Linked DNA regions of Mus musculus. The protein of the gene in region 1 purifies or fractionates together with the protein of each later gene. This does not show direct contact. Links are inferred from orthologs where the notes say so. Each region holds a gene or a part of one and is shown in the gene's direction. Other genes may lie near its edges. The genes, in order: Sf3a2, Cdc5l, Prpf3, Sart1, Snrpa, Cherp and Dnajc8.

Evidence for each region.
Region 2: the proteins of Sf3a2 (region 1) and Cdc5l purify together in Homo sapiens (affinity purification with mass spectrometry; 3 studies listed by BioGRID and IntAct, with this or other methods). This does not show direct contact. The link is inferred for Mus musculus from reciprocal best matches to the Homo sapiens genes SF3A2 and CDC5L.
Region 3: the proteins of Sf3a2 (region 1) and Prpf3 purify together in Homo sapiens (affinity purification with mass spectrometry; 3 studies listed by BioGRID and IntAct, with this or other methods). This does not show direct contact. The link is inferred for Mus musculus from reciprocal best matches to the Homo sapiens genes SF3A2 and PRPF3.
Region 4: the proteins of Sf3a2 (region 1) and Sart1 purify together in Homo sapiens (affinity purification with mass spectrometry; 3 studies listed by BioGRID and IntAct, with this or other methods). This does not show direct contact. The link is inferred for Mus musculus from reciprocal best matches to the Homo sapiens genes SF3A2 and SART1.
Region 5: the proteins of Sf3a2 (region 1) and Snrpa fractionate together in Homo sapiens (co-fractionation; 3 studies listed by BioGRID and IntAct, with this or other methods). This does not show direct contact. The link is inferred for Mus musculus from reciprocal best matches to the Homo sapiens genes SF3A2 and SNRPA.
Region 6: the proteins of Sf3a2 (region 1) and Cherp purify together in Homo sapiens (affinity purification with mass spectrometry; 3 studies listed by BioGRID, with this or other methods). This does not show direct contact. The link is inferred for Mus musculus from reciprocal best matches to the Homo sapiens genes SF3A2 and CHERP.
Region 7: the proteins of Sf3a2 (region 1) and Dnajc8 purify together in Homo sapiens (affinity purification with mass spectrometry; 3 studies listed by BioGRID and IntAct, with this or other methods). This does not show direct contact. The link is inferred for Mus musculus from reciprocal best matches to the Homo sapiens genes SF3A2 and DNAJC8.

What each region holds. Positions count from the first base shown.
Region 1 is NC_000076.6:80,801,735-80,805,422, forward strand, and holds the end of Sf3a2 (splicing factor 3A subunit 2), read left to right. Parts: intron 1-663; coding exon 664-710; intron 711-1,057; coding exon 1,058-1,167; intron 1,168-1,725; coding exon 1,726-1,775; intron 1,776-1,848; coding exon 1,849-1,989; intron 1,990-2,085; coding exon 2,086-2,154; intron 2,155-2,237; coding exon 2,238-3,080; 3' UTR 3,081-3,188; downstream 3,189-3,688. Other genes in the region: Amh (muellerian-inhibiting factor precursor), read left to right, coding at 3,514-3,688. UniProt on the Homo sapiens protein: Component of the 17S U2 SnRNP complex of the spliceosome, a large ribonucleoprotein complex that removes introns from transcribed pre-mRNAs.
Region 2 is NC_000083.6:45,430,908-45,435,093, reverse strand, and holds the start of Cdc5l (cell division cycle 5-like protein), read left to right. Parts: upstream 1-1,386; 5' UTR 1,387-1,658; coding exon 1,659-1,703; intron 1,704-4,186.
Region 3 is NC_000069.6:95,853,086-95,857,141, reverse strand, and holds the start of Prpf3 (U4/U6 small nuclear ribonucleoprotein Prp3), read left to right. Parts: upstream 1-1,256; 5' UTR 1,257-1,393; exon of another isoform or gene 1,394-1,822; intron 1,823-3,504; 5' UTR 3,505-3,553; coding exon 3,554-3,698; intron 3,699-4,056. UniProt on the Homo sapiens protein: Plays a role in pre-mRNA splicing as component of the U4/U6-U5 tri-snRNP complex that is involved in spliceosome assembly, and as component of the precatalytic spliceosome (spliceosome B complex).
Region 4 is NC_000085.6:5,385,904-5,390,203, reverse strand, and holds the start of Sart1 (U4/U6.U5 tri-snRNP-associated protein 1), read left to right. Parts: upstream 1-1,500; 5' UTR 1,501-1,576; coding exon 1,577-1,889; intron 1,890-4,300. Other genes in the region: Tsga10ip (testis-specific protein 10-interacting protein), read left to right, coding at 7-142. UniProt on the Homo sapiens protein: Plays a role in mRNA splicing as a component of the U4/U6-U5 tri-snRNP, one of the building blocks of the spliceosome. May also bind to DNA.
Region 5 is NC_000073.6:27,186,506-27,189,888, reverse strand, and holds the end of Snrpa (U1 small nuclear ribonucleoprotein A), read left to right. Parts: intron 1-356; coding exon 357-530; intron 531-934; coding exon 935-1,023; intron 1,024-2,524; coding exon 2,525-2,684; 3' UTR 2,685-2,883; downstream 2,884-3,383. UniProt on the Homo sapiens protein: Component of the spliceosomal U1 snRNP, which is essential for recognition of the pre-mRNA 5' splice-site and the subsequent assembly of the spliceosome. U1 snRNP is the first snRNP to interact with pre-mRNA.
Region 6 is NC_000074.6:72,468,734-72,472,233, reverse strand, and holds part of Cherp (calcium homeostasis endoplasmic reticulum protein), read left to right. Parts: intron 1-1,178; coding exon 1,179-1,363; intron 1,364-2,006; coding exon 2,007-2,144; exon of another isoform or gene 2,145-2,218; coding exon 2,219-2,370; intron 2,371-3,500. UniProt on the Homo sapiens protein: Involved in calcium homeostasis, growth and proliferation.
Region 7 is NC_000070.6:132,534,111-132,538,358, forward strand, and holds the start of Dnajc8 (dnaJ homolog subfamily C member 8), read left to right. Parts: upstream 1-1,448; 5' UTR 1,449-1,475; coding exon 1,476-1,553; intron 1,554-4,076; coding exon 4,077-4,178; intron 4,179-4,248. UniProt on the Homo sapiens protein: Suppresses polyglutamine (polyQ) aggregation of ATXN3 in neuronal cells.

The sequences.
Region 1 (3,688 bases):
CAGGGTCTCACTGTGGAGGGCTGGCTGGCCCCGTGTACTCCTGATGCTCCTGCCTGTGTCCCAGGCTGTCCTCTAACATAACCGCACAGGTTGGCTGGACACCAGCTATCCTTTATCCTTTTGCTTTGACTGTGTGCTCTGGGAATGACCTTACAAATAGTAATGGATACCAGCCATCAGCAGAGTCACTTCTGCATTTTGGGGCTAAAGGGAGGGGGTGTGGCTATTGTCCCTTTTTCTGGAGGGGCAAGGACACTGGGAGTTCCCACCCCTCCTTTCCCACCCCTCTTGCTGGAGGACCAGACTGATCAGGCATGGATGGAACAGGTCTGGCCGGGTTGACAGTGGGGTGGTGATGAGCAGTGTTCTAGGTTCCAGGCCTCTGTTGGAAGCTCCTCCGGACAGCTGCCTATTCCCACTGGTGGACTCAGCACTACAGACTTTTGCAGTGAATGCTGCTCTAAACTGCAGAGGAATTTCTGGGGAGGGATGGGTGCAGAGGCTAGTCACAGGTCTCCCAAGTGCAGCCACAGCCACTGTGATGCCCTGTAGGCTCCCATGCTTGGCTGAGCCCCAGGCCTCAGCTAAGCCGGTACAGTTGCTCTGCCAGGTGCCCGTCCTGCCCTCCCTACCTTCAGCAGCATGTCTCCTTTCTCTTTGCAGGGGAGCTACCTGGCCCATACCCAAGGGAAGAAACATCAGACTAACTTGTGAGTCCCTACAGCCCTGGTTCCCCGGGACCACAACACTGTTACTCAGTAGGGAAATCTGGCTGGATGAATGGGGAGGGGAGGGGAGAGGCTACCTGCGTCTACATTCTTGACCCCCTCCCCCCATCCCCAGCCCATGTTTAGCCTTACTGTCTCAGTACAGAGCAGATGGCCAAGGGGCAAGGACATTGGTGGTGCCAGGATTCTCACCTGTTCTGCCCTGCTTGGTGTACCCCAGGGCAGAGCCGCCTAATCCTCTCCCTCAACTCTTGAGGGCAGGGCCTCTGGCTCCTGGTGCTTGGCCTTGGTGGCTGGTGGAGGGCCCAAGCACTTGTGTCTGTTTGCAGGGCCCGGCGAGCTGCCAAGGAGGCCAAAGAAGCCCCCGCCCAGCCTGCACCGGAGAAGGTCAAGGTGGAGGTGAAGAAGTTTGTGAAGATTGGCCGCCCTGGGTACAAAGGTGTGTGTGTGTGTGTGTGTGATGGCCTCCCTATGGCTGGGGGCTACGGCATGAATGAGCCCTGGCCCTGGCACCGGACATACCCTTGTCCCTAGGACACACAGCCGACTTCTCTGTCCTCAAAGCATCTTTCCCTTAGTGTTGCCAAGAGCCCCCAGGTGCTGATAAGTACCATCCCTACTGGCAATCTCCAGAAGCAGGAGGGGGAGGCTGGCTGTTGCAGTCACTGCCCCTGGAGCCCCTCTGCAGAGGCCCCTGGGTGACGTGGCCTAGCCAGAAGACCAATCACATGGCCAGCAGGAGCCCAGGGACCCAAGTTGCCAAGAGTCCCCTTTGGCAGGCAGGGTCCGTCCTGGGGAGGCTGTGACACAGCACCTCCCTCCTCATACTCTTCTTGGACTTCAACAGCTGCCCCTGCATAGAGTGCTGGGTTGGGTTGCCCTCCCTCACTTTAGGTCCTAGCCAGTGGCCTTAGGCAGAGAAGCCAGGCCTTGTGTTGAGGAACCCTGTTCTGTTGTGCACACACAGCACATAACAGCCCCATCCCTTCTGTTGCAGTGACCAAGCAGAGGGACACAGAGATGGGCCAGCAGAGCCTGCTGTTCCAGGTGAGGTGGGACCAGTCAGGGGTGGACCAGACACACGGGTGGTGATGCCAATAGTGCTGTGCATGTTTTACAGATTGACTACCCTGAGATCGCAGAGGGTATCATGCCACGCCACCGTTTCATGTCTGCTTATGAGCAGAGGATCGAGCCTCCAGACCGCCGCTGGCAGTACCTGCTCATGGCTGCTGAGCCCTATGAGACCATTGCTTTCAAGGTAGCGACCCTACAGGACAGAGAGAGCAGCTAAATTCAGCTGTCTGTGTATCCTAGCCCCTCCTTGGGGTGCTGCAGCCTCTGACTTTCTCCCTAGGTGCCAAGCCGGGAGATTGACAAGGCTGAGGGCAAGTTTTGGACCCACTGGAACAGAGAAACCAAGCAGGTGAGGTTCCACAGGCCTTGCGTGGGTACTCTCTCAGCGCTCCTCAGTGGCCCTGCCCCAGTCACTGACCCTCTCTCCTACAGTTTTTTCTTCAGTTCCACTTTAAGATGGAGAAGCCCCCAGCACCTCCCAGCCTCCCAGCAGGACCCCCAGGCGTCAAGCGGCCCCCGCCCCCACTCATGAATGGACTGCCTCCTCGCCCACCACTCCCTGATGCCTTGCCCCCACCTCCACCTGGTGGCCTGCCTCTCCCTCCTATGCCCCCCACTGGGCCTGCTCCCTCTGGGCCCCCTGGACCTCCCCAGATGCCCCCACCAGCTCCTGGGGTGCACCCCCCGGCCCCAGTAGTACACCCACCAACATCTGGAGTCCATCCCCCAGCTCCTGGGGTACACCCCCCAGCACCAGTGGTCCATCCACCAACATCTGGGGTCCATCCCCCAGCCCCTGGAGTGCACCCACCCACCCCTGGAGTGCACCCACCAGCCCCAGGAGTGCACCCACCAGCTCCAGGTGTCCACCCACCAGCTCCAGGGGTACACCCCCCAACTCCAGGGGTGCACCCACCAGCTCCAGGGGTGCACCCACCAGCTCCAGGGGTGCACCCACCAGCTCCAGGGGTACACCCTCCTCCATCAGCTGGAGTTCATCCTCAGGCTCCAGGGGTACACCCACCTGCTCCTGCAGTACACCCTCAAGCCCCTGGGGTACACCCCCCAGCCCCTGGGATCCACCCTCAGGCACCAGGGGTTCACCCTCAGCCGCCTCCTGGAGTCCACCCTGCTGCCCCGGGGGTCCACCCTCAGCCTCCAGGGGTTCACCCCTCAAATCCTGGGGTGCACCCTGCTCCTATGCCCCCCATGCTGAGGCCCCCACTCCCCTCAGATGGCCCTGGGAACATGCCTCCCCCTCCCCCAGGCAACTGAGCAGTCCCCCCACCAGCCTCTGTTGTCTGTGTGGTCTTTTCCCATTGCCAGTCCTTGGAAGGTTTTCTATTTGTCCTGCCTTGAGCCTATTAAACAGCCTCCCCCGTGTCTCCCTGTCTGCTGTGTGTTTGGTAGTGGGGAGGGTGGATACTGCTTGTCTCTGTTGAAGCTGTGGTGACCTGGGGCGTCCTCCAGGTGGGCTCCCCAGGGAGATGGGAGCTACTCAAGGACAGCTCAGGCCTCTGCAGTTATGGGCCCAGCTCTGAGGACAGAAAGCCCTTTGAGACAGTCGCCTCCCACCTGCTGGGCATGAAAAGTGCCAGGCACTGTCCCCCAAGGTCACCTTTGGTGTTGATAGGGGCGTCCCTCCCAAGCAAGCAATCTGGCTCAGCCATACATATAAGCAGGGCCACCCGGACCTTGCTGTACCACCATGCAGGGGCCACACCTCTCTCCACTGGTACTGCTGCTAGCGACTATGGGGGCTGTGTTACAGCCTGAGGCGGTTGAAAACCTGGCCACCAATACCAGGGGCCTCATCTTCCTTGAAGATGAGCTCTGGCCCCCCAGCAGCCCCCCTGAACCTTTGTGCCTGGTGACAGTGAGAG
Region 2 (4,186 bases), on another chromosome or scaffold:
GAGGACTGGTTCAACTGTGGATTTATTAGGCCTCTCGATTACAAATAATGGAAAGCTAACTTCAATGACTAAATCCAAAAGGGGGATATGGAAGTAGTTACGACTTGGGAATGTTCTAGATCCAGGGACCATGTAGTTCAAAATACAATTGTTAGGTGCCACACAATTGGTAGGTTAGAGGCTTATCAGCTAGCAGAAACACTGACCTCTTTTGGATCCTAGCGTTAAGATCCCCAGAGAGGAGTGTTCAGATTTGCTTTGATCTGGTCAACCAAATGGTGTGTGACCTGGGTGTGTGGGATAAAAACCATACAACTAAGTGATGTTGGCAGGAGGTAATGGTTACACATCTTTACAAGAGAGCATTGCAAAGAGTACCAGAGGCAGAAAATGGCTTGTTAACCTGTCATCCTGTCAGATGACAGGAGTGAAATGAGATTGTAGGTCACTAAACCCAAGTGTTCTTCATAACACTACACTACCTCCCTCTCAACTGAAAGCAGTGATATTTTGATACAATTTCCTATTTCAAGGAAAAAAATCGTAACAAAAATCGAATCGGAAAATCCGTCATGTCTTCTAGAAGGGGCAAACGGAAGCATGAACAGTGACAACAAACCAGAGCCGCTATGCACGGAATAAAATCTTTCCCTAGGGACCTGGGGTGACACCAAGTAATTAATTGCTCTGGAATAGTGGAGAAATCTGCGTGGGAAAAGAGAGAGGAGATGGCAGAGAGTCTGACAATTTCCACTTCACCGAGACTTTGTGGACTCGCAGCCGCCCTCTGATTTGATGAACAAGTTGTTTGTTCCACTCTTCAGAGGACGACCCCGGATTCCAGGGGCGAGACTCCCGCAACTCACCGAGTTTGTTCCACAGACACCCAACAGCGAGGGATGAGGGAAAGCGGCTGACGTGACGCTTCCCAAGGGTCCCTAGGGCGTCGCCTCGAACCCCTTGTGGCTCTTCCAGGAAGGAGAGCGAACACTTTGGGGCGAGCAGTCGCTCAGTCCCTCAGGTTAGAGTTAGGATCTTGAGTCCGTCCGGCATCCTCGGCGCTTGGCGCTGCGAGTTGGAGCTCCTAGAAAGAGAACGGACTCGTTTGCATCTCCCCGAGGACTCAGCGAAGTCCTCGTCGGTCGCCGGGATGCCCAGCGCAGCGCTCCGTTAAACAAACAGACAAACAAACAAGCAAACAAACAAACAAACAGCGCTCCCTGGGGACCAAGCGTGCTGAGGAACGCCACACCCCTCACATTTATTCCCCACCCCCGGCACTGCCCTCCGCGTGACGTCAGGACCAATCCCTTCACTGCGTTCCCGGTCAAGTTCCAACTCTGGCATCTCGCGAGAGTTTTGTTTTCCTTCACCCTAGTCTCGGACCTGCGCGCGACACGTCGGGCGCCTTGGCACCTGCGGTTTGATTAGTCTCCATCAGTCTTAAGGTTGCAGCCTGGCCGCCCGCGTCTTTTGCCTTCGGCCGCTAAGATCTCGCGAGATTTCCCGGGGCTGCCCACGCCGCGCCTGCGCAGAGCTCTTCAAAGCAGAAGGTCGCTCTTGGGAGGAAGTGGCCTTTTGCGTCCCGTGCCCGGAGCGCCGTTACTACTTTCTCGAAGCTCTCCTCGGCTCCCTTGCCGGGACACTCTGCCGCTAAGATGCCCCGGATTATGATCAAAGGGGGAGTGTGGAGGAACACGGAGGTGAGGCAGCTTTTCCCGCCGTCCGCAGCCCTCCGCCGGCTCTGGTAGCGTGTGCGCACGCGCGGGGAAGCTCCGGGAGCCGTGGCTGTCCCGCGGGGGTCTGCGGTGCGGGGCGGCGACTGCGCGGACCCCGGGGACCCTCGCGGTGCATGGGTGCGGGCTCGGGTCACCTGGCTCACCCCGGGGGCGAGGTCGCGACTTGTCGCCCGGCGCTCCTCGCTTGGCATTTGCTAGGCCCTTGATCACTTATTTGATCAGTTAGGGACGCGCCCCCTCGGTGTCTTCTGCAGCCCGGTGGCCGCCGACCGGACCTCCCCCGGAGCCTGGTGTTTCTCCAGCTCCTTTCGATCTCAGCTCGTGCACAGCGCTTCGCTCTGTTAGAAGCCGTTGTGGCTGCAACTTTGTTTTTTCCGTGACTTCTTTACAGCCGGACAGGCTGCCCGTTTACGTCTGCACCTCTCTGCTTATCTTAGGACCTGGGTCCTTTCTCTTACCTTTCCAGTCACGCCACCCTTGCCGGGATAGAAGCCAGTTAGGACAAACTTACCTACGGTGGTGTTTGCGTCCAGAAATGTTGTAGATTATGTCACGGTGAGCGGAACAGCAGAAGGAAGGAAGTAAAATAGAAATTAAGTTAACGTGCATTTAATCGAGTGCGCCGAATGTATGAGCACCTTTCCGTCTGTCTTGTGCGTTCTTGAGATAGCTCCTTATTGCTTTGGCATCTTTCTGAACATGCTCCAAACTTAGCTGAGAACACTTCTTAGAGTCCTCCTGGCCCATTCGTTGGTCGTCCCGTTGAGAGTTAGTTGTTTAGTGGTTTGGTGGCACCTATTTTTCATTTACTACAGCTTTGTTTTCACAAGCACTTTTGTGTGGCTCCGGCTGAGTTACTTCTGAGAGCCTCAGATTACTCATTTTTATAAGACAAATAAATAATTGTATTTAAGCTCTTGAAACGAGTTGCCAGTTTGGAACATTGTGAACGCAGCTGGGTACATTAGTAGGCTTTCAGTAAAAAAAATGAGTTGCTGTTGTCTTCATCAGACAGCAGTATAGTAGGACCAGGCTTTGGCATTCTAGTATGAAGCAGGTTTCTTGGTGATGTTTGGGAATGAATCTTGTAGGATAGGTACCTGTTGTATGTATTTGGTTGAAGATGCGTTGAAGTTTTGAAAAACTTTACCAAAGTTACAAATGGAGGCACTGAAAAGGGACTTGCATGCACTAAGACAATTTAAACTAGAAGAGTTGGCTTCTGAGGAAGAAGCAGAGTCACAAAATCAAGTAACATCAGGATTCCTCTATAATGGCCAAAACCCAGCAGAGTGTGTGTGTGTGTCTGTGTGTCGATGTCTGTCTGTCTGAGATAGGGTCTTATGTAGCTTAGATTGACTTTGAACTTGCTATGTAGATGAGAGTGACCCTTAACATCTGATCCTCCTGCTTCTACCTCTCCTGTTCTGGCATAAGAGGTGTGTACTGTCATGTGTAAAGTCTTATGGGAATCTAATCCAGGACTTAAAGTATGCTAGGTGGGTATGCTACCAGTTAGCAGTGGGAGAGAAGATGGAGTGGAGGGTTTTATGTAGAAGACAGGCAATTCAAGTTCATTGTAGAAAAAGCCTAAAAGTAAAGTGCTCAAGTGCATTCATCTATGACTCTTAGGTCTGTGAGCTCGCGTGGCAGGATGTCTGGGGATTGGGCTATACTTTGGGTACTCTGGTGAAATGGTTTTTAGAGATTGGAGTAGGTAGACAGGGCGCTGACTGATGAGGTAGAGGAGCTGTGGATCCTGGGCTGTTGTGAGTAGGATGCCTGCCAGAGAGGAACTGTGTTGAACCAGAGTCTCAAGTTTCTTCTTTGATTCTCTCTCCAGAAGTATAGAAGACCTGCTTCAAGGTAGATAGTCAGGAAATTTTTTGTTCTTGTTTTGAGAAAATATATAAATGTATGTGAACTTTGTGAGGAGAATGGCAGGTACATGCCAGTGAATAATTTTGTCTGTCATAAAGTAGTGTTTTTAACATTGACTTTTTCCACCTCCAGTTTGTTGAGGGCCAGGTAAGATGTCCTTTTTTTCTGTTTTTTTTTTTTTTTTTTTTTTTTCTGTGGCTGGTGAGCCAGCAGTTAAGAGCACTGACTGTTCTTCTGAAGGTCCTGAGTTAATATCTCAGCCAACCACATGATGGCTCAAAACCACCTGTAATGAGATCTGATGTCCTCTTCTGGTGTGTCTGAAGACAGCTACAGTATACTTATGTTTAATAATAAATAAATCTTTGGGCAGTAGCGAGTAGGGGCCTGAGTGAGCAGAGGTCCTGAGTTCAGTTCCCAGCAACCATATGATGGCTCACAACCATCTACAGCTACAGTGTATTCATATACGTAAAATAAATAAATAAATAAATAAATCCTTTTTTTATTACATATTTTCTTTATTTACATTTCAAATGCTATCCCAAAAGTTCCCTATACCCTCC
Region 3 (4,056 bases), on another chromosome or scaffold:
TATTTGGGGGATGTGTAGTGGGGAACTTGCCATGGTAGACAAGTATTTATTAAGTACTTAATTGTATGAGTGTTACTGTAAGTATAAGCACTAAGCGTGTGGTGGCTATTCCTGGTTATCTACTTGACTATATTTGGAATGAACTACAATTCAGAATTGGAAGGCTCACCTGTGATCCTAATCTGGAGGCTGAGATATACAATTTCTGACCTGGATCTTGGCACGGAGATCTTGAGGCATAGTGGCTATAAATTCCAGAAAATTAAGACTGGGGGATCTTTGAGTTGAAGGCTTGGTGGCACACACCTTTCATCTGGGCCACACCTTCTGCTGGAGACCTACATAAGGACATTGGAAGAAGGAAGATTCTCTCTCTCTTCTCCACCTGCTTGTCTTGTGGGACTGAGCAACTGCTAGATCCTTGAACTTCCTTTCATAGCTGCTGCTGCCCATTGTTGGGACTTGGACTACAGACTGTAAGTCATCAACAAATCCCCTTACTATACAGAGACTACCCATAAGTTCTATGACTCTAGAGAACCCTGACTAGTACAAAGCCTAAGTTAACTTTTATGAATACGGTAGATGATACTACAAGTACAATAAGGAAAAAAAAAAGAAAAAAGAAAAAAAAAGTGGGACTCTAGAGCGTCAAGTATCAAAATTAAATAGGGCGGCCAGAAAGGCTTCTCTAAGGCTAATTTGAGCACAAACCCGAAGTAGAGTGGAGTGCAAATCTTGTAGTTTTCTTAGTAAAGAGCCATGCAAGGCAGAAAGCGACAAGCGAGAAAGTAGTCTGGTTTCTGAGGCTGAGCTAGCAATTGGAATACTGTTATCCCTAGAGGTTAGGAAGTGAGGCAGGTTTTGGTGTTTCATTGGCGAATGGGAAGCCAGGGGATAGCTCTGAATCTGTTCTTTTTTGTTGCCTGGTCTCTGGTATCGATTTTAAATTAGGGAGGCAAAGTTAAGGGAGGGCAGCTAATGCTAGAGATCACAATTTTTTTTTTTTTAAACTAGAAAGGACACTTTGAGTACGAATGTGGACGTCCTTGCTTTTAGTTCTAAGTGATAATCTTAGCGCACTAACTCTTTGGACCCGAGGGAATGTGATGCCAACCGATTTCTGCTCCGGGAAATAATGCCCGAACTAACGTTGGCATCGCTCCGGGACAACCCGCGGACTAGGCTTTAGGATCCCGCGGCGCGTGCGCCCCGCGGCCGGCACCTTGATACCGCGGCTGCGCAGCTGAGGCCCCGCCTTCCGTAGTCACGTGCCGTAGGGACCGCAGCGTGGCGGTGTGTGGCGGTAGCGACGGCGGGCCGTAGGGCAACCGGAAGGTTTCCGGTTCCGGTGTAACGTTCGGGCTCCGTCTCAGGGGCTGAAGTTTGTGAGGTGAGTAGTGGCCCCGCGCCCGAAAGGCTGTAGCCTTCGGTGCGAGCGGCTGGACAGGGCGGGAGTGCTCGGCGGGAAGCAGGCTGGGAGGACTCCCTGGTTCTGTCCGGGGAAGAAGTCAGAATGGGCTGGCTGAAGGCAAAGGGCGGGGGCGGGAAGCAGCAGGGTGGGCAAACCTGCCCTGAGGTGAGGAGTTAGCGCGGACTCGGTGGGGCCGGGGCCAGGTGGGAAGATAGCAAAGACCGGAGCATGGGGTTCCAGGGGCTTGTAGCGTAGAAAAGTAAGGAATCCCTTCGGAAGATGAGATTCTGCTACCTGCTCATTCAGAAGACAGCGTTCTGCCTCCCTCCCCTTCCCCTTCCCCTTCCCCTCCACCCCCCAGCCCCCCACCGACGCTGACGCCCCCTCGCTATTAGAGTTGAACATCTGGTTAGTGACAACTCTACTGACTGAAACTTTCTTATCCATTGACTGTTTCGTTTGCACATTCGGGTCGAATTTGAAGACATCCATTTGTTAGTATATTTCTTGAGCTTACATCCAATATGCTTAATATGCTTCACCTATTACTCTGGATTTTGAAAATTGCTTAAACTTTCTAGCCTATTATTCAATTGTAGTGGGTTGTAAGTCCCATTAACATGAGGATTCTTGGCTGTTTTGTTCACTGCTGTGTGTGTCCTTACATGCAGTAAGTATTCTGCTTGACAAGAAATAGTAACTTAAGTATTTATTGAATGGAGTGTTATACCAGATGTCTCATTTTCTAAGATAAGTATACTGAGGCTCTCGGGAATTAACTTGCTTTCCTAAGGGCTTATGAATGGTGGTGCTTACTATATTCTATCTTAAATGGGCTTTCTTCTCCACTTTTAGTGCCTGTGGTTGCTTTCTTTTTGATAGGCAGTATACTGCTATCTCATGATGGCCCAAAAAAGCTATCCCAGGATTATTCATAAAAGTTGTCACTGAGAAACAGCCTTCCAGATTCATTCAGATGTATTAAATACTGTGTATTGACAGATCTTATGAGAGAGAAATCTGTCAAGAATGTAGGAGCTAATTAGACTGCATCTTTTTTTTTTTTTTTTTTTTTTTATGACAAGGTCTCATGTAGCCACCGGTGATGTTGAACTCTGTAGCCAAGGCTGGACTTGAACTCCTGATTCCCCTTGTGCTGGGATCACAGGCTTGTATGATCATTCTGAGGTTGCATTTTTTAGATGTCTTTAAACATCTTGAAAGAGTAATTCCCAGATCATACTAAGATGCATGGCAGTGCTAAGAGGAGGTCTTATGGGAAGTTGAGGTCGGTGCAGTCAATAGATTGACATGCAGCCATTAGGAAGAAAATCAGAAATTAAGTTATCTTTATGCTGGTGAAGATGTTGAGATTTAAGATTACCCAAATGTAAGCATGAATAGTGTTGAAATTTTTCTCCAACTGTGTTAAGTAATAAAAAAATCATGTTGGTGTATAGAATACTTACCAGCATGAATAAAACTACAGAGAAAGGTGACAGCATTCTTAAGGATTATGAGATTTAACACAGGAGGACTGACTTGAATAAACCCTCTTCTTTGAATCCGTTAGACAAGTTTTAGGTCAAAGTTAGGTTAGAGAATGGCTTCCAGAGCAGAAGTTGACTTCTAGATTGACTCTTCAGATGTTCTGTTTGCCAGTCTTTTGTGTGACAGGGTCAGAGTTAGAACCCATTCCTCAGATTACGTTATTCCTAGTTTGTTCATTCTTTAGATAGCAATGATGACTGATGCTGAGTTAGAATTAAAATATCAAATGAGTGGGGCATGGTTGTATGCTCCTAGAATTTCTCACTGGGCAAGTGGAGACAGGAGAGTTGCCAAGTGTTGAGTTCTGTATGAGCTACATTGTAAGACCGTATCTCAAAAAAAAAAAAAAACAAAAACAAAAACTAATGGACCCCTTCCTTCTGTTTTGAAGCTTGGTTTTAGGGAATGTATTTCCCTTCATATGAAGTGGAGAGATGTGCTTGGGGTTGAAAATAGGAATGGGGAAAAGCACTCTTATTATGCTATTATCTTGATTGTTTTGTTTTCCTTTTCTCTGACTCTTGCTTGGTTTCTTTTAGGTGTAGTTTTTTTGTCCCATTGGAGCTCTCATTCTCCATTTTCTCCGAAATGGCGCTGTCTAAGCGGGAGCTGGATGAGCTGAAGCCATGGATAGAGAAGACGGTGAAGAGAGTGCTGGGCTTCTCAGAGCCCACAGTGGTCACTGCAGCCTTGAACTGTGTGGGGAAGGGCATGGACAAAAAGAAGGCGGCTGGTGTGTACCTCTCTCACTCTTCTGACGTATAGTGATTCCAAACACTGATTTGAACTTCCCCAGGTTGTCCCTGTTAGGAGCATTAAAGGAAAGGTGGTGCTAGCCCCCTTCTCCTTTTGTTATTTGCTTGTTTTGAGACAAGGTCTCCTGTGTAGTTGTGTCTGACTTGGAACTCCTTAGAGATCCACCATCCTCTGCCTCCTGAGTGCAGGGGTTAACAGTGTGCACCACTCCCTCCTCCCCCTTTTTTATTTAAAAGACAGGGTCTCATGGAGCCCAGTCTGGCTTCCAGCTCACTAGCTGAGGATGGCCTAAGACTTATGAGTCTATTTCCTCTACATCAGCAGCTCTCCAGCTG
Region 4 (4,300 bases), on another chromosome or scaffold:
TTTAAGGAGCAACCGATCACTTAGAGCAGAAATGGAGCCCTCTTCTCAGAGCCCCCCCAAAACAGAGCCAACCAGCAGCCAGCCTGGAAGACGCCCCTCCCCAACCCTGGACCCAGACTACAGTCCCCGAGAGAAAAATTAAACGCTTTATGGCCAAGTACAGTGTGAGACTTCTGAGGGGAGTTGGCTGTGGGTCGGAGATAGGTAGCGGAAGTGGGTGGCAGAGGTTGAGCTGTTTCCCCCACGCCCTGGAAACCCAGGCTACACCTCATTCTCAACAAGCCGTCTCTCTACTGAGGCGTGGGGCACCGGAAAGGAATCCGCTGAGACTTTGCCATGCTTTCCCCAACATGCCAGGGGACCTAGAAATCTTAGTGAACAGGACCCTGCCTCTGAAGGCGCTCAGTCTCGGGGTGGACCTTCAAAGGTGCCCATCCCCCACACCAAACCACACCAGCGAGGTGCTACACCGGAAGTCCAGAGAGGAGCAACGACTATCAGATGGGAGTGTGTGAACCCTTAACTTAAACCCTTAACCCTTTACTCAACCCAAAACAAAGCAACCAAACTAAACAAACAATCAAACAAACAGAAACCCAGGAAAAGTCGAGAAAAGCATGTAATCCCAGCCTGGGCTACATAGTTAACAGGCTAGACAGAACGGGAAAAACAAAAAAAGGAGGGAAAGCATATACATGCACAAATGTGCCGAATTTGCACTCAAGCCTGGAGTGGCCATGCACACGAGAGGCTGACAGAGGGACTGTGGTGGGTTTGAAGACAGCCAGGGGTAAGTAACAAGTACTAGACCTACCTTTACAAAAAAAGAAAACTAGAAACAAACCATCACTCAGTATCACCAGGTTTATAGGCACAAATTCAAAGAGCACTCCAAAGCCTAGTTAAAAAGGTCCAATCCAGCTGGGCGGTGGTGGCGCACGCCTTTAATCCCAGCACCTGGGAGGCAGAGGCAGGCGGATTTCTGAGTTCGAGGCCAGCCTGGTCTACAGAGTGAGTTCCAGGACAGAGAAAACCCCTGTCTAAAAAATAATAATAAAACGGTCCAATCCATCAGTCTAGGGGACATAGGATGACGGTAGCGTTCGCTAAAAGAAAGAGTATTTTCCAACTCTGGATGGAGCCCCGGCACTAGGGAGCTTGCTTGGACAGTCACTGGAGAGGGGGCTGCCCACAGAGAGACTTGAGGCACAGAGCACCACGAAGCGATCAGAGTGGAAGGGGAAGGAGGCAGGGGAAACTTCTAGCTCCGGAGATGATGACCCAGTACCATGCTAAAGTTCTTACGGCTCTACGACTACCATCTTAGATGGCGCGAGAGGGTGGACGGCGCAGTCTCTACAGGTGCGCGTGCGCAGAGACCAGTAGCTGGCAGGCGGGACCGCGCACCCTCAATCAGTCCCTCCCGTGAGCCTTTGGAGGTTCCCAGGCAGGCCCCGGAAACAGCCCCTCTTAGTTTCCGGCAACAGGAACGGGGCGGTCGCGCGACCCGGAAGCGTTCCCATTTCGCGTCGTCTGGGCTAGGGTAGCGGCCCGGCTCCAGGCGGACGCAATAATCATGGGGTCGTCAAAGAAGCACCGTGGCGAGAAGGAGGCGGCCGGGACGACGGCTGCGGCCGGGACTGGGGGCACGACCGAGCAGCCGCCACGGCATCGCGAGCATAAGAAACACAAGCACCGGAGCAGCGGCGGCGGCAGCAGCGGCGGCGAACGACGGAAGCGGAGCCGGGAGCGTGGGAGTGAGCGCGGGAGCGGGCGGCGTGGGGCGGAAGCCGAGGCCCGCAGCGGCGCGCACGGTCGCGAACGAAGCCAAGCGGAGCCCTCGGAGCGGCGCGTGAAGCGGGAGAAACGCGATGACGGCTACGAGGCCGGTGAGGGCGGGGCCCGGGGGCGGGGCAGGGTCTTGGGATGCCCAGGACGGAGGGTACGGGAGGACCTCGAGGGCCATCTGCCTCTCGGGTTAAAGACGTCCTCCGGGTGTTTGGGGTTAAACGTTGACGTCTCCACGTTAAGCTTTAAGAAGACAGGAGTCTTCCTGCCTTCCCTGTCTTCCTGGCACTTCACAGCAATGCATTGGGTGGGTGAATGAGGTGGGACGAGCGTGTACAGACAATCGACCAATAGCTCATAGCGGAGACATGAAGCAGTAAGATAGGCTTGGGTCTGAACCAGCGCTGTAAGCCCTGTTGAGAAGTTTGGGCTTTGTTATGAGGATGGTAGGGAGCCAAGGATTTGAGTAAGCAAGTGACTTGAATTGCATGATATTTTATGAAGATCAGTGGGTTGAGAGCTTGTCAAACGTAGGACCAGAGATCAAGAGATCGGGAGGGAGGTCCAAGCAACCAGGTGAGGGCTAATAGTATGCATGTTTCTCTATGCAGCGGGCCGGAGAGAAGTGGACAGATTGAATAGGAATTCGGTCTGATTGGCCTGGTGAATGGAGGTGTCATCTGTTGGAACTGAGTTTAGAAGAGAAGCAGATTTGAGGCAGGGGAGAATGACACAGTTTTGGGAGAACTTTATGTTTGGTGTATATGGGAAACCTTACAGTTTAAGTGAGATAGAGTGACTTTGGGCTGGTGTGTATTCAGGAAACCAAAGAAGTGCCTTAGAACATGTGGAATGAGAACGAGAGTCAGGCATAGAACCTGCTAAATTCCAGTAGTTCAGTTGTGGGCAGAGGAACATGTTGAGGAGCATAAATAGTAGCCAGTGGCAGGAACCCACAGTCTGCCCATAGGATCTATGCAAAGAGAGCATTGCTGAAGTGTGATCCACCACAGGACATTAATCTTTTAAACAAAGGATTGTTTTTATGTTAATGCATTTGAGTATTTTACCCTCATGTGCCCGTGCCAGCAGAGGTCAGAAGAAGGCATCGGATCCCCTGGAACTGAATTAGATGGCTGTGAGTTGCCATATGGATTCTGAGAACCAAATTTGGGTCCTCTGTAAGAACAGCAAGTGCTCTTATCCCCTGAGACATCTCTCCAGTCTCCAGATCAGAAATTTTCTTGAAAGTAATCTGCTAGTTGGAAAAAGGGAGACTTGGGACTTGACAGTTCCCACAGAAAGTGGAGTGGTGCCAAGGCAGAGAAAGGGACTGTTGGGTTAAAGAAGAGAGTGACTGCAGTGGTTGAATACGGCAGAGATTTTTGAGAAGATGCCCTCCTGGTAGGGCCTGGTTGGGGGAGCTAAATTTGATGCATCTTCCTCTGTATGGTGTTTGTTGAAGTTCTCTTCTGTTTGTGGGATGGGTAGAGCAGGTCCAGGGTGCATGCCTGCTTATTTATGTTCTTGTTTATGTACATGTACCTGTTCAGCAGCCATGGATGAGCTGGGTTACCCTGAAAGGGGGGCTGGAAATGAAAAGGACTGGGTGCGAGAGAAGGATGAAGCCAAGACAAACGTTTCTGCACGGCTCAAAGTTCAATAGTCAGCCCTGCATTTATATAGGGAGAGCCCGCAGATTTGTTTCTGCTGGACTGAGCTGCAAAGTGAGCTCAGTGGGCAGTCTGCTCCTGTGGGAAGTTGACTCCACCTGGGTCTGGGTCGTTACTGTAGCCTGCTCAAGGCTGGGGGAAGGGCACGTGTATACATCGGGCGTGGAACACTGCTGTGGGCAGAAAGGGCCAGAAATGGTGAGCAGTGCTGTGCAGTTGAAGGCAGAGCCTTAACTCTGGTTAGTAATTGAACAGGGCTTCATGGTGGTTCGAACTCAGAAGTCCACCTGCGTCTGCCTCCCAAGTGCTGGGATTAAAGGCGTGCCCAGCCCACTGCCCGGCTCTTGATTCTTGATAGAATTTTATCGGGGCTGGTGAGATGGCTCAGTGGGTAAGAGCACCCGACTGTTCTTCCGAAGGTCTGAAGTTCAAATCCCAGCAACCACATGGTGGCTCACAACCATCCGTAATGAGATCTGACTCCCTCTTCTGGAGTGTCTGAAGACAACTACAGTGTACTTACATATAATAAAAATAAATAAATTTAAAAAAAATAAAAATTAAAAAAAAAAAAAAAAAGAATTTTATCATAACAAGAGCAGAAAGGACAGTGGAGGCTGAAGGTACAATATGGAGTGCCACAGTGAGGGATGCAGAAAGTTGGGCTGTTGGGTGAGAAGGGAAGGTATTGGAAGAGGCAGTCCTGCCAGCCCAGGGCCTGGGTAGGAGCTGTCAGGGAGCTCGGGAAAAGCTCCTGTCCTTTACCCAGGTGCTGGTGAGGGGCCCTTGTCTTTGACCTTGCGGCTGGACCAGCAGTGTTGCTTCCTGGTCCTGGTTCA
Region 5 (3,383 bases), on another chromosome or scaffold:
TGGGCCATGCGTGGTGCTACACACCTTAAGTCCCAGCACAAGGCAGGCATAGCCTTGTGGGTTCGAGGCCAGCCAAGCTACATGGCAAAAGCTTTTAAAATTTGTGACTGTGTATGTGTACATGAGCGCAGTCCCTGTGGAGGCCAGAAGAGGGCACTGGATCTTCTAGAGCTGGAGTCACAGGGAGCTGGGAGCTGCTGTCTGGGGTTGGGAACCATGCTGTCTGACCACTGAACTATCTTCAGCCTCCCTCCAGTGTCTTTATATACAGCTGAACAAAGTTGGGCCATGCTGTAGTCACTGTGACCTTGCTTTCCATGACCCTGTGACATCACTCCTGTTCTTGTTCTCCACAGGGCATGCCACCGATGCCTCAGGCACCCCGCATCATGCACCATATGCCAGGACAGCCTCCCTACATGCCGCCACCTGGCATGATCCCGCCACCAGGCCTCGCTCCTGGCCAGATCCCCCCTGGGGCCATGCCCCCACAGCAGCTCATGCCTGGGCAGATGCCGCCTGCCCAGCCTGTAAGTGCCCCTGCCCCACCACATGGTCTCATAAGCATGATCTGCGAGCAGAAGTGGAGCAGTTACAGGGGGCTTTTAGGTTGGTGGTGGGTGGCGCTGGGGCTGAGCTCTGTGGTGAGCCGACCTTGTCAGAGGGGAGTTGGTTTGTGAATTGGTCTGGGAGAGCAGGTTGAAGCTAACTAAGCCAAGGTGTGCATCCAGGTTAGTGCACACACTGGGGCCCAGTACAGTAGTGGCAAAAGCTGAAAGGTCTCTGCTGTCTTGGGCCTTTGGTCTCTGGGAGACTGGTGAGAGTGTGTGCGTTGGGGGACATGTGAGAGAGACTCAACGGGGTGGTGATGAGAGTGCCGTACCCAGCACCCCTCTCAGGGTACCCTGATCATGGGCTCCCATCTCTCCCACAGCTCTCCGAGAACCCACCCAATCACATCCTGTTCCTCACCAACCTGCCTGAGGAGACCAACGAGCTCATGCTCTCCATGCTCTTCAACCAGTAAGTGGGGCGGCGGCCGGGCGGGCGGGCGGGCGGGGTCGGGTCGTTCCGGTGCCCAGCACCTGAAGGTGTGAAGCAGGAAAGGAAGATGGTGCGTGAGGACAGACAGTGCTGTGGGCATCCATGCACAGGTAGTTTGGGTTCCGGGCTGCCTTTTCTGCTTCAGTGACATAGAGAGGTTCAGAACAAGGGAAAAGTGAAAGAACAGCAAAATGTTGGGCAGGTTTAGACTGGTATGAACCAGCCTATTCAAAAGATGGCAAGGACATTGGGGACACTAGGAACTCTGCCCTGCCAGTGAGCTGGAACCTGTAGACCTTGAATAGAGGGACTGCAAAGTGGAGAAGGGCTGTTTGCCTAGTCTTCAGGTTTCCAAGCACACCTCTTACAGAATTGTCTGGTCAAGCCTGGGAGGTAGTGCTGATGTATGCTTGCAATCTCAGTATTTGGAGGGCTGAAGCAGGAGGACTGAGTTGAGGGTTATTTTTCCACTATGTAGCCAAGGCTCTATTCTATGAGGCCCTTAGTTGGGCGTGTGACTTGCTATTCATGCGTGAGGCTCTTAGCCTTGTCTGGTGTGGAGGGATAATCAGCCCTGGAATGTGGAAGGTTTTATTGGCATGCGACCTACCCCATCTCTCTTTTTAAAGATTTTCTTCGTTTTACTTTTAATTATGCATTTATCTGTGTGTGGGTATGTGCCAGAAGTGTTGGATATCTCTGAGTTCAAATTTTAGGCAGTTTTGAGCTGCCTGACATTGGTGCTGGGAACCAAACTTGGGTCCTGCAAGATCAATTCTTGATTTTACCTGCTGAGCCCTCTCTCCAGCCCCTCCCTTCTTGTTTATGATGGAAACAGATGGTTTATTGAGCAAAAATACACAGTCTTCATATGTTACTCTGGCTAGCCAGGAGCTGGTGATCTGCCTCTGCCTTCCGTGGAAGTCTAACCTTCCATACCTGCCTTGGATGATTCTTTAGAATTATGCTGAAGGAAAATTTGAGAAACCAAATAAAACTGGAAGCAGTACAGCTTGTATGCCATCTCCATAAAATAGTGCATGTTTCTGAGACTGCTTGTGGGAAAAGACATCCATTGACCTGGAGGAAATGAGGGAATTCCAACAGTCACCATGGCATCTTGTAATCCCAGGGCTTAGGCTGAGGACCTAAGGTCCAGCCTGAGCTAGGGATCCAGTCCAACAAAGCAAACACCAGAGACAGAGTAGGGATTGGTGACATTTTGTGGGACTGGATTGGACTTTGGGGGAAGGAAGGGGCGCCAGCGCTGTTTGAGGCCACATTGTGATTGTTGAGATTTTTCATTTAATGCTGTTTACGGTAGGGGTTCTCCATGTATTTTGTCCAGATAATCTTTATGTGTGGGGTCTGTGTTCTACATTATGGGACGCTTAGCCTCTTTGGCCTCTGTTACTTTGGTGCCAAAATATTAGGGGAAAGCTGAGGTGGGTATCTGAGGTCTGCTATTCCCTCCTCCCAGGTTCCCTGGCTTCAAGGAGGTGCGTCTGGTCCCTGGGCGCCATGACATCGCCTTCGTGGAGTTTGACAATGAAGTGCAGGCTGGGGCAGCACGAGATGCCCTGCAAGGCTTTAAGATCACACAAAACAATGCTATGAAGATCTCTTTTGCCAAGAAGTAGCGCCTTTCCCTATGGAGTACCCCAGTCCCTTCCCCCCCTCCCTTGGCTCAGTCCCTGAAGGTAAGTCCCCCTTAGGGACCTTCTCAGAGCCGTGTGTGTGTGGTTGCCACACAGCATTGTACCCAGAGTCTGTCCCCAGACATTGCACCTGGCGCTGTTAGATTGTGATTAAAGTGAGTTTTTGAGGTTTGGTTTTTTACCAGTGTTGTCTGCTTTATTTTCCTGCCTGCCTTGGTTCCCTCCACATCAAAAGTCTGGATCTAGTGGCGTCTGTGGGTTCCCAGTCTGAGAAAACACTTGGGAGTGTAATAGTATTAATGAGGATCACTGAGTGCAGGAACAAGACCACCATGGACAACCCGCGCAGGGGGATACTCCTTCAAGAGCACATGGCGAGGCTGCTCCTGATCCTGCTTTTGCACTCTGCAGTAAAGAGGAGTGGCGCAGGGAAGACTTTGTCCCCAAGGCATTTGAGTGAGGAGGACAAAGCTGTTGCTTGCATCATTAAGGGACTCTCATGTTGTTGCAGCTAGGGGAGAGGAAACCTCTCCACATTGGCCCGGTGGCTGTGTCACATGGATGCTGTAGTCAGCCCCTTCTGGTTTGTAATTTGGGATGTCTATATCTGTCACCCAATGGGCAGTTAGTGTCCCCAAAGTGAGCTTTATTTTCTTCCTGTGTGAAAAGGGATCCTCTATT
Region 6 (3,500 bases), on another chromosome or scaffold:
AAAGGCATGCACCACCACTGCCCAGCTACAGAGAGTTTCTAAGACAGTCTACACAAAGAAAACTTTTCTAGTTTAAAAAAAAAAAAAATTCTACTCCTATCATGGTCTTGTTTTTGTAAAGTACAATAAAAATGTGAGCTGTAGGGTGTTGCTTGTTCCATAGCAATTGACACTCAAGGCTGCTCACAAGCCACTCTGACTGCTGTGGTAGAGGCCTGTTCTGGTGTAGAACACAGTTTCCTATTAGGTGTGATACACGCAAAGGCAGATCGATAGCAGTGATGTGGAAGAGTGCATGTAGTTGGCATGCTGTTGACTAGTGTGAGGGTATGTATACCGCTCATCTGAGTGGCTTGCTATACTCGACTGGGAGGCAGTGCAGGGACTTTGAGAGGCCTAAGTCTGTGAAAGCCCAATGGCCCATGGTGACACCTCCAAAGTGGAGCTTCCAAAAGGAATATGGGATCTGGAGCTTATGAACCAGTATGAACCAGGCAGACATGTAGGGTGCCATTAAAGCCTAGGTGACACTGTCTTTCTTTGCTTTTATCCAAAGTCATTTGTTTTGATGAGTCTTAGGCTCCTAAGAGTGTGGCTATGTTCAGTTGAGGCAGGCAGGGCCTAAAAGTAGAGAGTAAGGAGGCCATATTGTTAAAGTCGTACCTGTGAGTAGGGGCCTTCCTCTCCAGAGACCTTATCTGGGTACATGCCAGCCTCATATACAGTCATACCAGGGTGTTGCTGGTGATTCAAGCTAGTCCAAAGGCTGCAGATTGGGACGGTCACCACAAGCCACAAGAGGTGGGGCTGGTCTTGGGGGCACTCCAGCCCTATGTGTACTGGCCAGACCTCCAGAATGCTGGCTGTCTTGAGTGAAGGGGAGATTAGGATCCAGTGGCTTGGGACAGACACACCTTGGGAGAGGTGCCACATCTCCAGCCCTGGTCATAGCTTGCAGTGCATAGTAGCTTGGTCAGGCCTGCATGAGAAGGGAAGATGGAAGGGTCAGCCTGTCTTGGGACAGTGAGATCAAGCACAACAGGGAAGCTTGGGCAGGATGGCCGTGTGCGGTGGACAGTGGATCCATCAGGTCCTCTCTCTGGAGGGCAACCTGATGGATCACCAAAAGGAACCTGGGGCACCCCCTGAGCTCACAAGGCCCATCTCTTTCCTGCTAGTAATCTGCAAGCAGCAGGCCCCAGAGCTGGAGCCCACCTCAGCCATGCCCCCTCTGCCACAACCTCCGCTGGCTCCCACAGCGTCCCTCACTCCGGCCCAGGGCACCCCATCAATGGACGAGCTCATCCAACAGAGCCAGTGGAGTCTCCAGCAGCAGGAACAGCACCTGCTGGCCCTGCGCCAGGTATGCCTGCATGTACTGTCAGTGACCCTGGAGTCACCTTCCAGTAGGTCTGTGGGTCATCCACAGGCATCGCTCAGTGGACTTGTACCCATTGTGGATGCCAACACATGGCGGCTTAGGTACCTACCATTCTTAATGAGTAGGGAGGGGCATTATTGGCCCCATCTTTTAGGTTGGTTCTGTTGCCAAATTCTATAGGGATGAGCTACCTGAAATGAAAGGAGAGAAGACATACAGACCTGAGTGCCAGCCCCACTCAGGGTTTCCTTGCTTACCACCATCACATATCATGCATGGATGTTTACCATCAGTCATAGTCTGGACAGTTAGGTCTTAGACAGCAGAACCAGCCTCTACTCTTGGTGACCTATACCTACTATTTACTTGCTTGTGTTTAGATTGGTTTGGTTTGGTTTTGAGATAGCATCTCCCCAAGCTGCCCTCAGCCTCCCAAATGGTCACAGGCACATGTGTTAGCCTTTACCCCCTGCCTTGCTCTGCTTAGGTGATCCATGAGCACCCTGCCTCCTTCACATTTTCCTGTTAGCTTAGGCCAGGCTGCCTTGCCTGCTGTGATGATGGACGATACCAGTGTTTGTGCAAGGGCCCTGCTCATACCACCTGTCCCTTGTGGTTTTCCCAGGAGCAAGTAACGACAGCCGTGGCACATGCAGTGGAACAGCAAATGCAGAAGCTGCTGGAAGAGACACAACTGGACATGAGCGAGTTTGACAACCTGCTACAGCCCATCATTGACACCTGCACAAAGGATGCCATCTCGGTGAGGCTCAGTATGGGGTGGGGGTGTCGTCGCCTGCCCGACTGACCACCCACTCACCCTGGACTGACTCTCAGGCTGGGAAGAACTGGATGTTCAGCAATGCTAAGTCCCCACCACACTGTGAGCTGATGGCAGGCCACCTGCGCAACCGCATCACTGCTGATGGCGCACACTTCGAGCTGCGGCTACACCTCATCTATCTGATCAATGACGTGCTGCACCACTGGTAAGTACTTGACCACTTGGTCCAGAGCCCACACCTGTCAGGGACCCCCAACTCCTCCAGTTTCCACCCTTGCTGCACTTGCACACTGGTTCACTGCTTGTACTCCCAGGACAGTGGCTGGCACCCCACAAGGCAGGCCTTGGGCACTGCTGCCTCCTCTCTGCCTCTGTAGCCATCATGTGTCTGCTTCGGTCTGCATAGCCAGACACCTGGCCGATGCACTGTCTGCTCTTCCATGTCTTAGGGCTACCTTTGCTGATCCTCTCTCCATCAGTCTTCTCTTTGCATTGTATTTGGCTCCAGCCTCCTGGGGCCTGGTAGGTGTGTCTTTGCATGGCCAGCGGGTGAAGTTGATGAAGGAAAACAGAGTCCAGAACTCTGGTCAGAGACAGGTGCAAAGGTCCCATGCTAGTGACACATGCCAACAGTCAGCTGGGCTGGCTGCCCTCTGGCTTTCAGCATGATCTTGAGGCTAGGACAGTTGATAAGTATATATGGCTCCCATGAGAGCAGGAGAAGCTGGTATCTTTCTCCCTAACTATCTTCATGCGACCCCTCCTTGTCAGGCTGTGTCCACACCCTCCTGCTTTGTACTCTATTTCCTCTCAAGGTGTCTTGCTCCTGCCTCTTAGGTAGGGCCTCTGCGCAGATGGCCTCTCTCCCACTCCCTGGGACACTCCTCACTCGGCTCACACAAAGCTCTGACCTGCACTGCCTTCCCTTGCCTACCTCCTGGCCAACTCTTGCTGCCCTTTGACCTCAGCTGTGGGAGCTGAAGCTATTAGTCCCTGCCTGCACCTTTCCTGGGTCTGCATATGGGCTGTCTTGCTGAGCCACTACTACTCCCGAGGCCTGAATACTGCACAGCTGGAAGGGCTGCCTTTGGCTGCTTCTTTCCCTTTATCCCCTCTCAGTGGCACTGAGCATGGAAGCCAGGGCCTTGGCACCTGGTAGGCAAATGCTGTGCCTTGTGTTGACCACAATCCTCATGGGTGGTTAGGCTCCCGGTAGCTTTCTCAGTGGCCCTATGAGGCTGGGGAATCCCTTCTGAGCAGATTGTTGAACCTGCTTGTGCATAGTAGTGACCAGGTCCTAACCACAACGGCCCAATTTCACCCTTTACACACATG
Region 7 (4,248 bases), on another chromosome or scaffold:
AATGTCACTTTCTCAGAGAAACCCTTCTTTGACCTTCCTAGTCATCCTGACAGCAATTTTTTTTTATCCTTGCTTCTGAGTTCTTTCTCACAGTTTACTTTGTGAAGCCATCAGAGCCTTAGTAGGTAGTGAATTAGTAATTTTGAACTGTATCAATGTGTCGGTGAATGGACCTAATAACTTGGTGACGGGCTACAAGGACACTGAAAAGAACATCAAGCGAACTGGTGGTACAAACCTGTAATCCCAGCACTCCTGAGGCACACAGGAAGAGCTTAATCTAGCTTAATCTAGCCTATTCGACAAAGGGAATTCTGGGCCAGCCAGGGCTTCATAACAAGATCCTGTTTTCAGAAACAAACGAATAAACACCCACACCCCCCCATACACTCCCCCCCCGCACCCCCCCCGCCCCCCACACATAGGGCTAGTGCTGGGCCCCAATGGTGAAAGGAGAGAACGGACTCTTGAAAGTTGTTCTCCCTGACCTCTCCATGTGCATTGTGACACTGTGCCCCCACTAATAAGTAAGTATAATTTTAAAAATTAAATAACAAACTCCAAGCACAGATCCTTATACATGCATGCTCATAATTGCTTCCATCCCATTTTCCGATTTTGTCCCTACCTCAATGAGATCTGTTGTAACTCGGGATGGCCTCAAACTCGCAGTGAAGAAGCCAATTTCTCATCTTTCCGTCTCCACCTCCCCAGAGTTGGGGTTACAGGCATATGTCCAGCTTCATAATACTATTTCACAGTGGTCCAAAGGTGAGAAGACCCCAAATGTTGAACTACTGAAGAGGTCAACAAATCATAGCATAGACATACCTTTGAGGAATTGGATGCCACCATAAAATGCAGTAAAAAAAAAAAAAATTTTTTTGACAGTTTTTTTTTCACAGGCCTGGCTGTCCTGAAACTTACTATAGAGACTAGGCTGGCCCCAAACTCAGAAGATCTGCCTACCTCTGCCTCTGGAGTACCAGGATAGGCTCCACTGGGATAAACTCTTAAAAAACTGGTACATGGTGGTTACCCAGGCCAGTTCCAGCACTCCAGGGAGTCATGTAGATCTCTGTGAGTTTGAGGTCAGCCTGGTCTACAGAGAGAATTCCAGGACAACCAAGGCTACACAGAGAAATCCTGGGTCAAAAAAACCAAAAAACTGTCACATGAAAAAAACCTAAATAAGAATTGTATAAGTAGATTCCATCCATGGGAAATGTCCAGAATAATAATAGGTATATCCAGAGACAACAGATTTCTTTCTGTCAGAGACTGGAGACAACCAGGGCAACACTATGAAACTTTATCCTTATTCTGAAAAACCAAAACTAAAACCGAAAAAAAAAAAAAAGAGGTCTCGGCCCCTTTAAGTTCAGCTGGCGGGCGGGGAGTCCGGGAAGGCGGGCTTGGGTGGTTACGTGAGGCTGCGCTTGCGCAGAACGGTCACGTGGTGGTTAGCCGGGAAAATGGCGGCTTCGGGAGAGAGTGGTGCTTCGGGTGGCGGAGGCAGCACAGAGGAGGCATTTATGACCTTCTACAGTGAGGTGAGCCCGGAGTAAGGATGGTGGCCTTAGGACGACCGTGCTCCGGCTTCGTCCGCCGCGGCTGGGGCCGGCGAGGCGCCTCCTGGGACCGTTGGCCCGCGCCGTCTGGCCTGGGGACTGCGGATCGGCTGCGGAGTGCATGCGCGACCGCCACTGTGGCTACTGAGGTCCCCGGAACGCGGCGGGGCGGCTGGGCCTGTGGACCCAGACCCGGAGAGGGGCCCGGCGAGCTGCTGGTCGCGCGGTGCAGCCTGCTGGCGGTGGAGTCTCCGGCTGGCGGAGGCCGAGCTGCGGCGCACCCACTTTTATTTGTAAACAGGAAGGAGGCCCTTGTCCCACTCCTCTGCCATGAATTGTGCGAGTGGCGATTTCTGCGGTCTTATCAGTGCTGAGCACTGTTCATCGGGACAAGAATGCGTATGTGAACCCTCCATCTTTAACATGACGAACCTCTTAAGAGGGTGCATACGTTCTTGGTGTCAGGTAGGACAGGAGTGAACTTGCTCTGAGCCTTGTTGACATTTGCATCGCCAGTGCCTAATGCGTGGTGGATGTTTCGCATATATCCGTTGATTAAATGAATGAATAAACTGAGTTAAAGTTAGCTATCTGGCGTCAGAGGCCCACATATTGCGTTCTCGCAAGGCAATTAGCCTAACTGCTGTTGAAATTTCAAGACATCAGTTCCCACACTGGCAAGTTAACATTGTAAGAGTTTTCACGACGATTAAAGGGTTTCGTGTATAAAAAAGCAGCTTGAAAATTATAAAGCAGTCGTTTTCGAATTAAGTACTTTCTGGTAGCCCAGGTTGGACCCTCTTGCTTCAGCCTCCAAAGTGCTGGGACCAGAGCCATTATCTCTTGTGCTTATAAGAATACTTGTAAGCCGGGCGATGGTGGTTCATGCCTTTAATTCAGCACTTGGGAGGCAGAGGCAGGCGGATTTCTGAGTTCAGGGCCAGGCTGGTCTATAGAATGAGTTCCAGGACAGCCAGGGCTACACAGAGAAACCCTGTCTCAAAAAACAAAAACAAAAAAAAAATTTTTTTTTTATGTTAGGAAATATTTTTTTCCTTCACATTGTTAGCATATTTTGCATTGCTCACAGTTGGAGAAATTTTGGTCCATCTTGGTGGAAAATGGAGGCAGGGCAGTTGACATCCTCAGGCAGGAAACAGAGAAGAAAGGCCTGTGCTTCCCGGTGCAACATTGACAATCAGCACGGACTCTGATTTAGCCCTCTTGTGTTTTTATTATATTTTTTTAAATTTAGTTTTGGCTTTTTGAGACAAGAGTTTCCCTGTACAACCCTAGCTGTCCTGGTGCTTTGTAGACCAGGCTTGCCTTGAACTCACAGAGATCACCCACCCGTGTCTGTCAAAGATGGTTGCCGCCATCACCCTGCTTGTCCTTTTGTTTTTAAGACAAGTACCCAATGAAGCTTAGGTGGCTTTACTCACTTCGCAGTGTAGGCTGCTTGGAACTAGGGCTCACTCTCCTGCTTCAGCCTCCTAAGTGCTCGTGTACAGGAATGAGCCACCACACCCAGCCGTTTTCTTTTGCCAAGGGTCAAACCCAGGATCTTGTGCATGCTAGGCAAGAACTCCACCAACTGAGCCACCTCGTAAGTCCTTCATAATGGTGTTGAATGTTGCTCATAGGTCATGGTTCAGTGTGCATTTTGCCTTTCAAAATGAAAAGAAAAAAAAAGATAGATTAATTGTACCCACATGCAGCTATATAGGTCTCTGGTGGTAGTTGTGTTTAGTATCTGGGAATCCTCTCGACCTCTGATTGTGAGTCAGACATAGGGTAAATTTCTAACAAGTTAGGTAATTGGAAACCTCACTTTCTGTAAGCCATAATTTCCCTATAATGGGATAATGGGGGCTGGAGAGATGGCACAGCGGTTAAGAGCACTGGCTGCTCTTGCAGAGGTCATGAGTTCAATTCCCAATAACTGCATGGTAGCTCACGATCATCTGTAATGAGATCTGATGCTCTCTTCCGGCATGTGGGTATTCATGCAGATAGAGCATTCATATTCATAAAACAAAATAATTAAAAAAAATGTGGAGTGGCTAATACTCCTGGAGAGAAGTGTTTACATAGTAAATGTGAATTTTACAGATTGCATGTAGCGTACATGTATACACAAATGGGCACAGAGGTCATTGTCATATGTTTTTCACTGTCCATATTATTCTTTTAGACAAGACCTGTCACTGAACCTGGAGCTCAGCAGTTTAGCCGGGCTGTGCAGGGTGTGAGCTCTGGGGGCCTCCCTGTCTCCTCCCTGCCCAGCTCTGGGTTTCCAGGCGCACGCGGCCATGCTTAGCATTTACGTGGAGATCTGAAATATCATTGTAAAATAGCTACGCCGCTGTGGTTGTTCTCCAGTTACCAAAGTGTCTTGGACATGGGAGATATAAATCGTTGTCTGCTGAGCATTTTAGCGTTGTGTTAAAGTAGATATATTTAGCTTATTCTTACTAATGGGATTACCAATTCTTTTACTTTTAGGTGAAACAAATAGAGAAGAGAGATTCAGTTCTAACATCCAAAAATCAAATTGAAAGATTGACTCGTCCTGGTTCCTCTTACTTTAATCTGAACCCATTTGAGGTGAGTAGATTGTTACTGTAGAGTTTGGTGGGAGAGCTTTGCATATGACAGTTATGTACGAGTTCGTTAT